Coturnix japonica: one gene and its partners. The protein of the gene in region 1 interacts with the protein of each later gene in a pairwise test. Links are inferred from orthologs where the notes say so. Each region holds a gene or a part of one and is shown in the gene's direction. Other genes may lie near its edges. The genes, in order: STK16, MIIP and KCTD14.

Region 1 (3,288 bases):
CAAGGACTCACCATCTCCCACTCAGCGCAGATGTAGGGCCCCGGGCGCAGGATCACCAGCAGCCCCAGCTCCGCCGCCAGGTCCAGGAAGGCTTCCACGTCCCGATCCCCGCTGAAGTCATACACTCCCGGCTGCGGCTCGTGGTAGTTCCAGGGCACGTAGCTGGGGGAGAAGGGGATGGCAACCCGAGGCGGTGCAGGCTGCGGGGTGCGGAGCTCCGCGCACAGCACCGGGCAGGAGAGGCGTGGGATGCCCCGCGTGGGTGACCCCCCAGGCTCACTTACACCTGCACGGCGTTCAGCCCGGCCATGTAGAGCCGCAGCAGGCGGTCTCGCCAGGCGGCCCGCGGGACACGGGCGTAGTGCACGCTGCCCGACACGTAGCGGAACGGGGCCCCGTCCTTGAGGAAGCAGTCCCGATCGAAATCGATCTGGAAGGAGCGCACCGGGGGGGCGGCCTGCGGGACGGCACAGAGCTGGGGGCGGCAGCACCTCTCCGAACACAGAGCGGGTCAACGGCGGGGGGGGGAAAGGGGAACGGGACCCCGACCCGCCGCCCTCCCGCACCCACCTCCGCACGCAGCAGCGCCGCCGCCAGCAGCAGCCCGAGGGCCGGCAGCGCCATGACCGCGGCTCAGCGGCCGGGGGGACGGTGCGGAACGGGCGAAGGAACCGGCACACGGCCCATAGCGCACAATGAGGGCGAGGATCCGAACGGGACCGCCCCCCGCACCGCGTTCCGCCCCTCGCGACAGGACGCGCCCACTAGAGCCAGGTCCCGCCCCGTCGGTCCCACGGGTGACGCGACGGTGACGCGCGGCGGCGGGCGATGACGCGCGTGGACGATGGGGCAGGCGCTGTGCGTCTGTTCCCGGGGCACCATCAGCGTGGGGGGGGCGCGGTACCTCCTGCTGCAGCGCCTGGCAGAGGGGTAACGGGGGGCTGGGGGGGCTGGGGTACGGGGGGAACACCGGGGGCACGAGGGATGTTGGGTATAAGGGGGTTTGGGGCACGGAATGGATGGATGGATAGGCAGGATTTGGGGAGAGATGCTCGTGGCTGGAGGGGATGTTCGGGCTCTGCTCCCCGCAGGGGCTTCAGCTACGTGGACCTGGTGGAGGGGCTGCGGGACGGGCGCTTCTACGCGCTGAAACGCATCCTGTGCCACGACAAGGAGGACCGGCAGGCGGCCCTGCGCGAGGTGGAGATGCACAACCTGTTCCAGCACCCCAACATCCTGCGCCTGGAGGCACACTGCATGGTGGAGAAGGGGGCCAAGCACGAAGCCTGGCTGCTCCTGCCCTATGTGAAGGTGAGGGGGTGGCCCCCAGCCCCATTGCCACGCAGGGTTGCGGTGAGTGCACGCTGCGTGTCTTTGCCAGGGGGGGACCCTATGGAGCGAGGTGGAAGCACTGAGGGAGAAAGGAAGCTTCATGCCGGAGCAGCGCATCCTTCTCATCCTCCATGGCATCTGCAGTGGGCTGCAGGCCATCCACAGCAAGGGCTACGCACACAGGTGGGGGCCATGGCTGGGGCTGGGGGCAGCAGGGTTCTAGTGGGCGCTTGGTGACGTCCCCCTCCCACTGCAGGGACCTGAAGCCCACCAACGTGCTGCTGGATGAGGACGACCAGCCTATTCTCATGGACCTGGGCTCCATGAACCGGGCCCGCATGGAAGTCACCAACTCTCGGGAGGCCTTGGCTGTGCAGGTGGGTGCCTGTCCTGGGGGGGTTTGAGGGGGGACATCGTCCCACTGCCCCCAGCCCTGCGTCCCCTCTGCCTCTCTGCAGGACTGGGCTGCCCAGCGCTGCACCATCTCCTACCGTGCCCCTGAGCTCTTCACGGTGCCCAGCCAGTGTGTCATTGATGAGCGCACGGATATTTGGGTGAGGACGCAGCCACTGCCCCCCCTCTTTCCCCCCATACTATGGGGTGAATGGCCACTCTAATGGCTGCTCTGCAGTCCCTAGGCTGCGTGCTGTACTGCATGATGTTCGGGGAGGGCCCCTACGATGCCATCTTCCAGAAGGGTGACAGTGTGGCCCTAGCGGTGCAGAACCCCATCACCATCCCCACAACTTCCAGGTGAGGCTCTGGAGCTGGGTGGGCCCTGTTCCCCATGGCGGGGCCATGCCGACCCCTCACTCCCCACAGGTACTCAGCCACCTTGCACCGCCTGCTCTCCTCCATGATGACAGTGAACCCCCAGGAACGGCCCAGCATTGAGGACATCCTACAGCAGCTGGAGGGGCTGCAGGCTACACCAGCCGGCCAGATCACCACGAGTATCTGAACGTGGCCCATCACTGGCCTAGGCTGTGCTGGGCTACCCTGGGCCTGCTTCCCCCTGGGGGGATTTCTGTGCCCTGGGGAGAGCTGCTCCATCCTGGAGGTGTTTTGGAGTCAGACTGTCGTTTGGGGGTGTGCAGTGCAGTGGTTTGTACCCTGAACGCTGCCGCTGGGGCCTGTGCGACCGCTGGGGTCTGCATGGCTGCTGGGGCCAAACGGGCCAGCACTAGGCTGCAGGACTGGCACACGTGCCCTGTTGCTGAGGGCAAGGCCTCGCTGCCCGCCCCGAGCCCACAGGGTGGCAGGTCTCTCCTGCCCCAAAGTATGTGCTGCTGGAACGAGGTGAGGGCAGGTGGGGCTCAGTGCCCGCTGCCTTGACACCCACGTTGCCTTGTGTTTTGAATAAAGGTGTTCTTGATGAGGTGTGCACAGTGTCCTCTGTCCTGCTGGAAATGGGGTGAGCGAGGCACGTGGCCAGGGCCAAGCAGCCAGGCACAGCCAGGCATTGCTGAAGGGGAATGGCAGGGGAGGAGAGCTCCACAGCTCCATGCAGCTGCAGCATTAGCGTTAAGCAGAGAAAGTTAATCTCTGGCTCCAGTGTGACAAATCCGTCTGTGGTTACAGCTGAGCCCTGCTGTGCAGTGCTGCTGTGCAGGCCCGCGGGGGCAGTGCAGTGCAGGAAAGGGGCTCATGCAGCATACGCTGCATAAGAAACAGGCAGAGCCCAGCACCTGGGTGCAAAGGGGCAGCAGCCCTGCTGCAGGGGGGCAAAGACAGTCTTGGGATGGCACCAGAAGCTGGAGGGGTGTAGCAGACACACAGCAGTTGTGCTGCCCGCAGCAGGGAAAGAAAGAGAAGCAGCCAAGTGGTTTCATAGGGAGTATTCCCCTCCTTTAATCCCCTCACCAAAACACAGTAGTGAAACAGCCACAGGGATTCATACCATGCCATATGCCCTTGCAATGTGCACCTTCTACACTGCAGAGCTCAGACATGACC
Region 2 (2,644 bases), on another chromosome or scaffold:
TGAGTTCACAAAGTGGGAGATCAGTTTAGAAATAATAAGCCAGTGAAAGGTGGAAGAGGAGACAGCTACAAGTTTTGCTTTATTAGAAAAAACTCTTCATACGAAGCTCAAGAAATTAATTAACCTGCCAGTGCCCCCCTGTGGAGTTGTTTTTACTTAGAAAACACTGCCATACGGAGTTCTTCTATGTTCTCACAGCATTGCCTGGTTGGCTGGGAAAATACCATTCCTTCCAGTGAGCCAAAAGTCAGCAGCTTGGATCTGCGAGCTTCATTGAAAGAGAAACCTTCTCACCATTCTCACCCGGTAAGGATAGCTTGTAAACAGTCATGGAGATGTGAATTGCATGTATAGGAAGTGTTATTCTGACTCTCTTAAGAGTATGATAGTCATTGATGGCCAAGCAAATTAAAAGGCCTGGAAGATTTTTCTCATCTCTCCAAAGAATGGTTGTTCCCTGTGCATTGTGAACTAGAAGGAAAAAAAGCGAATGGAACTGGATAACGATAACATGTAAATGAAAGCCTGTTCAGCTCCCCAACTGTTCAGCAAAACAGGAGCTGTCACTTATTTGGCATTATTTGATTAATGATGTCTTCATTGCAGAACTTGGTGTCCGGAGTGTCAGGAGGAACCAGAACTGACCAGCTCTAAACCTGACCTACTCAACGCTCTTCAGATTAAGCAGTGATTCTCAGCAGAGGGATCAAAACAAACATGGACACTGCTGAGCAGCTTCACTTTTAAATCCTGTTGCCTCAACTGTGGACCACTGACTTTGTTGGACCTGGGGAAGAGAAGGGGGCGGGGAGAGGGAACAAGTTAATTGGGTTAAAAATAAATCCTCAAACAAGGAGGTATTTTCTAATTTTTGTAGTCATATGAGCAAGCAATCCACTTACTTGAATGTACTAATTCATGGCTTTTCACTTTGCACATTTTGCAGCTACTTCTAAGCAGATGCACAAGCTTTCTTACCTAAGGCTTTATAAAGAGATGTGGACTGGACAACTAGGAGGACCATAGCAATAGATGTATATGGAGTTCATCTGCCATTTCAGTTAAGCAAACCAGAAATGCAGTGTTATCTGAGAACGCCAGGGCAAGGAATTAGCTTGTGAATGGCCTTGTTCAGTGGGAAGCATACAAATATGCTTATTTTCAAACACGTTAAGCATAACAAACACAAATTGCTAATGCCTTAAACTTGAGGTACTCAACAATGTAGTTAAAAAGTCTAGTTTATCTTCAGTGCCTGTAGCTACAGGGCACATTACAGAGTAATCATAAACCTGGAAAAGCACTTTTTATGACTCAAAAGCCTAGAAAATGCCTTAAGATATTTGCAAGTTACTCTTTCCTCTATTTTTCCAAGTTATTTTTGGAGGTTAGCAAAAAAGCTTTGTGGAGAAACAGCTTAAGAACAAAAGCAACATGTTCCGTATGGTATGATTTGTTGGAACTTCATGGTACGATCTTTCCCTGTCTAAAAATGATAAAAACAGATGTCATGTTTTGTCTCCAGTAATTCTGAAAGATAAATTCCTTTCATAAGAATTCTGGAAGTTATTGTGAAATCTGGACTAGTAATTGCGTTCGTAAGCTTTAAATCAAGTTTATTGGTAGGCGCTGGCTTCACAGAAAGCTTTGGGTTTGCACCAGTATTTTCAGCTTCTTGTCATTCGGTGTTAATTAAGGTACCCAATACTTTATAAAACAAATGTATGGATAGACTTTTTTAAGCAAGGGAGCAGTGTTGCAAATGTATGAAGTCTTACTATGTGACTGGAATGGAAAGCAAATGGCACGACTGACTAGTTATGTTTTGGGTTGAATATTTAGGATAAAGTGAAAGGAATTGGTCGCATTCTTTCCCTTAAAGCACAATCCCAAGCTATCTCTCTCTTCGTAATGGTTTTTACTATGTTCATGCGTGCTCTTTCAGATGGAGCTTCCCAGAAGTACTCGGTCTCAAAGAATATCTATTGAGATAAATTGATAGAATCATCTGAGCTGTCCCATGTGCCCTTATTGCTAATAAAACTGAAAATTTCAATTTCACAGTCGGGAGAACTTCTGCTGGTTTCCATCTTTAAATACTGGGAACTTCAGTTCACTTCCTTGGCTGAAATCTTCAGGAACAGAAAATGTGGTTTGCTTATTAACTTAGAAAATGACCTCATGGCTTTACGTATTGTCTCCAGATTTGTGCAAAGTAACTTTATATCATGATCCTTTTTGCACAAGGGATCTAACCAACGTTACTCAAGTTTTCCAGAAGAGCTTAAGCAATGTACATTTTATTGCTATTCCAAGCAGTTGCTGCATCAGTTTATCATTGATAATATTCAAACACATTTTTTGTGTGGACAACTTGTTTTTTTCTTTCCATTTGCAATTGAAATCAGCAAAGGGTTTGTAAATGGAGCTTGGCTAATGTTGTTGGTATGTGGTCCAGAATTGAGATCTGATAGTGTGACAGAGAGTAAACAGTTGTTTTTTGTTTGTTGTGGTTTTTTGACTGAGACACCTGACTGTGGGTGTGTATATGGTGGCCTCATGTTCTAGTAAGAAGGTGGTTCATGGTCAAGTTTCTCATAATAATCACTTTTAAAAATAGAACCATACAAGAAAACGAGGCTTG
Region 3 (3,754 bases), on another chromosome or scaffold:
CAGTGGTGGCCAAGGCCTCCTAGGGAGTGCAGAGCAAGAGCCACAATGGGGTTGTAGGAATCCCAGGACAGGGTCGCCCAAGGCTATGGAGACATCCATGCTCTTGGCTTTTCACTTCTCTCCCAAGGGAAGAATGGAATTTGAACCAGCCTGAGTTAGCTGATAGCAGCAGCATGGAGTACTGTGAGCCCTCCAGCCCCCTCCAGAGCTGTGATCTCACTTTTGCCTTTCAGTGTTTGCTTCCCACCCACTGGTTTCCTCAGCATCACTTTGACCCTGGGGTAAAAGGAGGAGAGATGAACTACAAGCGTGATTATTTCCACTTAGTGCAGGCCCAGAGGGCTTTGATGCAGAGAAGGATGACTTCCCTGCAAAACTTTCCATGGCTGGGACACCATACAGATCAGATGTGTGGTCCCAGTAATCCAGGCTGCCATCTCTGGTGTGACTGCCAAGAAGAAAGGCATAAAATCCCTGTGGGTAGGTAGTGGCATGCCAATGGCTTGGGCTGTGAGAATGCTTTTCCAAAGGTCCCTTCTTAGATCAGATGACATTTTAAATGAAACTCCTAACAAAAAGAGAGAAAAAAATTCCAACTGGGAGCAATTTGCATAGCAGGACTGAAAAATGCCATTTTCAAGCAAGTGGGATCAAGAAATCCCAGAAGCAGCCTGAATAATAACAATCAGATGGCGACTTCCAGCCAAATATCTCAAAATACCAATTCTTTTTTTCTATAGTGTGCCAACAAAAGTGTCCAGGATGTGAAAAAAAGGAGTGAGAGAGTGGGGGAACATGACCAGTATGTCCATCAGAGTGAAGAAAGGGTTGTGGTGGGCCTTATAGGGTGGAAGAGCTGTAGATGACAGCTAGCAGCTCTTTCTTGTGCTGATGTAAGGATCTGCATTGCACAGCACTGATGGTTTGTTATCAACCACCATCAGTCACCTTTGGTTTGTGGTAGAGGGCAATTGTCCACACCCCATCCATCCATCCATCCATCCATCCATCCATCCATCCATCCATCCATCCATCCATCCAGTTCTGTAGCTGCAAAAGGGAAGGTTGTTACCTCCAGCACTCAAGACGTGCTGTGTCAAAAGAGTCTGGGTTCCACTTCTGTCAGTCATGTGCAGGATAGTTTTGGATGAGGAAGATGAATGAATGGGATTTGCAGGAATTAAAGGCTAAGAACACTCAAATCTTCCAGCTTTATTCCAAACCTGCTCTGACACTGCCAGGCACAACAGTGGGATCAGTGAGATGGTTTGGGATGCTGTGTGACTAAAAGAGCAGCCTGCAGACACCAACAAGCACTGAAGGTGTTACAGGTTTTCATCCAACCCAGACAGAGGTTGTGGGCCTCCTTTGGAAGGGCTGATTCAGCTCTCAGATATCTGCAGGTGAGTGTGTGACGGCAGCCAGCCCAAATCCGCCCTGCTGCTTTGCTGATTGCTGGAAAACTAATGAGCAAACAGTTCCGCTTCCGTGCTGCTCCCTCCCCTCTGGTCAGACCTGCAGGCTGCACTGTGCTTGGGGCAATCCAGAGTTTGTGGGGCAGCAGCTGGGCAGGATCCTTACTCACCCAAGGAGAATCTGGTGGAAGAGGACTGGAACACAGCGAGGGGAGATGAGCATTTCCTCGGAGCACAAACCCCTCAGGAAACAGGTCACTGGCAGCCTGCATATGGTGAGTACGGTGCAGGCTTGGGGGCATGGCTCCTTCTTCTGGGATCAGAGCATCCCCTTTGGGTTAGTTACAGCGGTTATTTCTCACCCATCTGATACTTTGAAGGCACAGGGGCTTGCCAGGTGTGTGAGCAAGGTGCTTTTCTAGGTGAAAAGCTGTGTCTGACTCTGACCTGTTTGCACCAGCCTGGTTCCAGCAAGACTGTGTCCTTTGGAGGCACACAGAGCTACAGCAAACAACCTCGCTGGTTTCTCCTTTGAAGACTATGAAGTGAATTTGATGTTAAGTTTAATTTGCCATATCCTTAAATAAAAGCCTGTTGTGAGCTCAGGGGTTTTTCAGTGGTCTCCAACGATGAGTAACTTGCTCTGTGTTTAAGGTGTGCAGAATTACCAGCTGGGAACGGTAGTTTTTCTAGCTTTAAGGAAAATTAGTGTCAACCACAAAACAAGGGACCTGTTACTGAGGAGAAATCAGAAATCAGGCAACATTTTACTTTTCCTCCCCTGGTTCTATTAGTAACTGGTTTCCCTTGACCTTCCATCTTAAAAACAAGAGGCTCAAAAGGATAAGACCCTCCTGACAAATGATACCTAACAGGGAAAGCTGTTGTTATCACTTGGACTAATGGCAGATTTCCTAACTGAGAGGCTTTGCTATAGAAACAGCTTTGGGCCATGCTCTTTAATGGGTAGAGATCACTAGATACTGTCAGACAGAAACGTTTTATGTTCTCTTGGCCCTGGTGCAAATAACTGCCCTGGAGATGAAGCCACCTACATTAGAGCAAAGCAATATTCCATCTGGGACTTTGGCCTGAATCTCCTGTTGTGTCCCTGGCTTCCCTACATTTTGAGCTCAGAGCTGCTAAACCTTATAGCTTGCAGTCATTTAAAAGACATAATCTCCCTCTGCTCTGCTCCTATCCCCTCATTTTGCTAGCTCTGATGCTAGTTAAATCCTCTGTGAGCCACTTCAGCTTGCTAAAATGAAGGAGAAGCAGAGCTGGCACAAGGTAAGAAGTGGAGAGTGCAGCAGGAGCCTCCCCTTTGTCCTGGTGTAACAGTGAGATCAGTTCACGTCATCTCGACCCATAGGGCACCACAGGCTGGATCCAGCTAAGCTCTTTGGTACATACTGAAGCATGTGACTGGTAGCACTGAAGCAGATCATTGTATGATCAGGTCCAAGAAAGAACAGGTGAGCTCCTGGAGAAAATGGTTGTTTATTGACTCAAGCCTTCCCAGTGGCAGGTGCGGTCCTGGCCAGGCGTATGACTTGCATTACAGGACTGGCAGCGTGAGGGAAAGAACTGCCTCATTTCTTCCTTCTCCTCCTGCTCTACCAAAAAATGCAAAGGAGGCTGTTAAAACTCTTCAGCGTTGAACTGAGTCAGGAGTGTCATCAGAAGCGACACCAGATCCAGCTCTCTGGGCATTCAGGTCTCTCACGTTTCAAATAGCAATGGCATTAATGCACAGTGAAATAAAATAGAGATAAAAAGCCAAACATTAAATCTTAGTTCTTAAATCCACATCAGTTGCATAAACTATTTTGTCCCGTCCCTGAAGGTGTTGAAGGCCAGGCTAGGTAGGGTCCTGGGCAATGTGATCTAGTGCTTGACTGGCAACAAGCACTGCCTGCAGCAAGAGGAGTTGGAACACAATGACCTTTGAGGTCCCTTCCAGCCCAAGCATTCTATGATTCTATGATTTTCTTTTCCTCCTATCAAATGCACAGATAAACAGACTTTGTGCTCCACCTCAGACACCAGCAAAATGACTCCTTCCTATGTCTTAAAGGTGTGTTGAGGGTGAATCCCTTTAGGAACATCCATGCTTCTGATCTGGATACAAGGGCCAAATATAAATATCCTGAATCTGCTTTTAGCAATGCTTGGTGTGGATGTTCCCATATGTCCTCCATGGGAGGGTGGTCAGGTGCTGGAACGGGCTGCCCAGGGAGGTGGTGGAGTCACCCATCTTGGAGGCATTCAAGGAACATTTAGATGTTGTGTTGAGGGATGTGATTTAGTGAGAACTATTGGTGGGTGGTGGGACTGGA

The links.
Region 2: the proteins of STK16 (region 1) and MIIP interact in binary tests that used the Homo sapiens proteins (3 or more experiments, as listed by UniProt). The two-hybrid records come from large-scale screens. The link is inferred for Coturnix japonica from reciprocal best matches to the Homo sapiens genes STK16 and MIIP.
Region 3: the proteins of STK16 (region 1) and KCTD14 interact in binary tests that used the Homo sapiens proteins (3 or more experiments, as listed by UniProt). The link is inferred for Coturnix japonica from reciprocal best matches to the Homo sapiens genes STK16 and KCTD14.

What each region holds. Positions count from the first base shown.
Region 1 is NC_029522.1:24,514,925-24,518,212, forward strand, and holds STK16 (serine/threonine-protein kinase 16), read left to right. Parts: upstream 1-794; 5' UTR 795-844; coding exon 845-930; intron 931-1,091; coding exon 1,092-1,311; intron 1,312-1,381; coding exon 1,382-1,515; intron 1,516-1,588; coding exon 1,589-1,709; intron 1,710-1,790; coding exon 1,791-1,886; intron 1,887-1,963; coding exon 1,964-2,085; intron 2,086-2,154; coding exon 2,155-2,293; 3' UTR 2,294-2,715; downstream 2,716-3,288. Other genes in the region: GLB1L (beta-galactosidase-1-like protein), read right to left, coding at 12-162, 285-457, 571-624. UniProt on the Homo sapiens protein: Membrane-associated protein kinase that phosphorylates on serine and threonine residues. In vitro substrates include DRG1, ENO1 and EIF4EBP1. Also autophosphorylates. May be involved in secretory vesicle trafficking or intracellular signaling.
Region 2 is NC_029536.1:4,771,812-4,774,455, reverse strand, and holds the end of MIIP (migration and invasion-inhibitory protein), read left to right. Parts: intron 1-198; coding exon 199-306; intron 307-606; coding exon 607-654; 3' UTR 655-2,063; downstream 2,064-2,644.
Region 3 is NC_029516.1:172,672,036-172,675,789, forward strand, and holds the start of KCTD14 (BTB/POZ domain-containing protein KCTD14), read left to right. Parts: upstream 1-1,473; 5' UTR 1,474-1,630; coding exon 1,631-1,690; intron 1,691-3,754.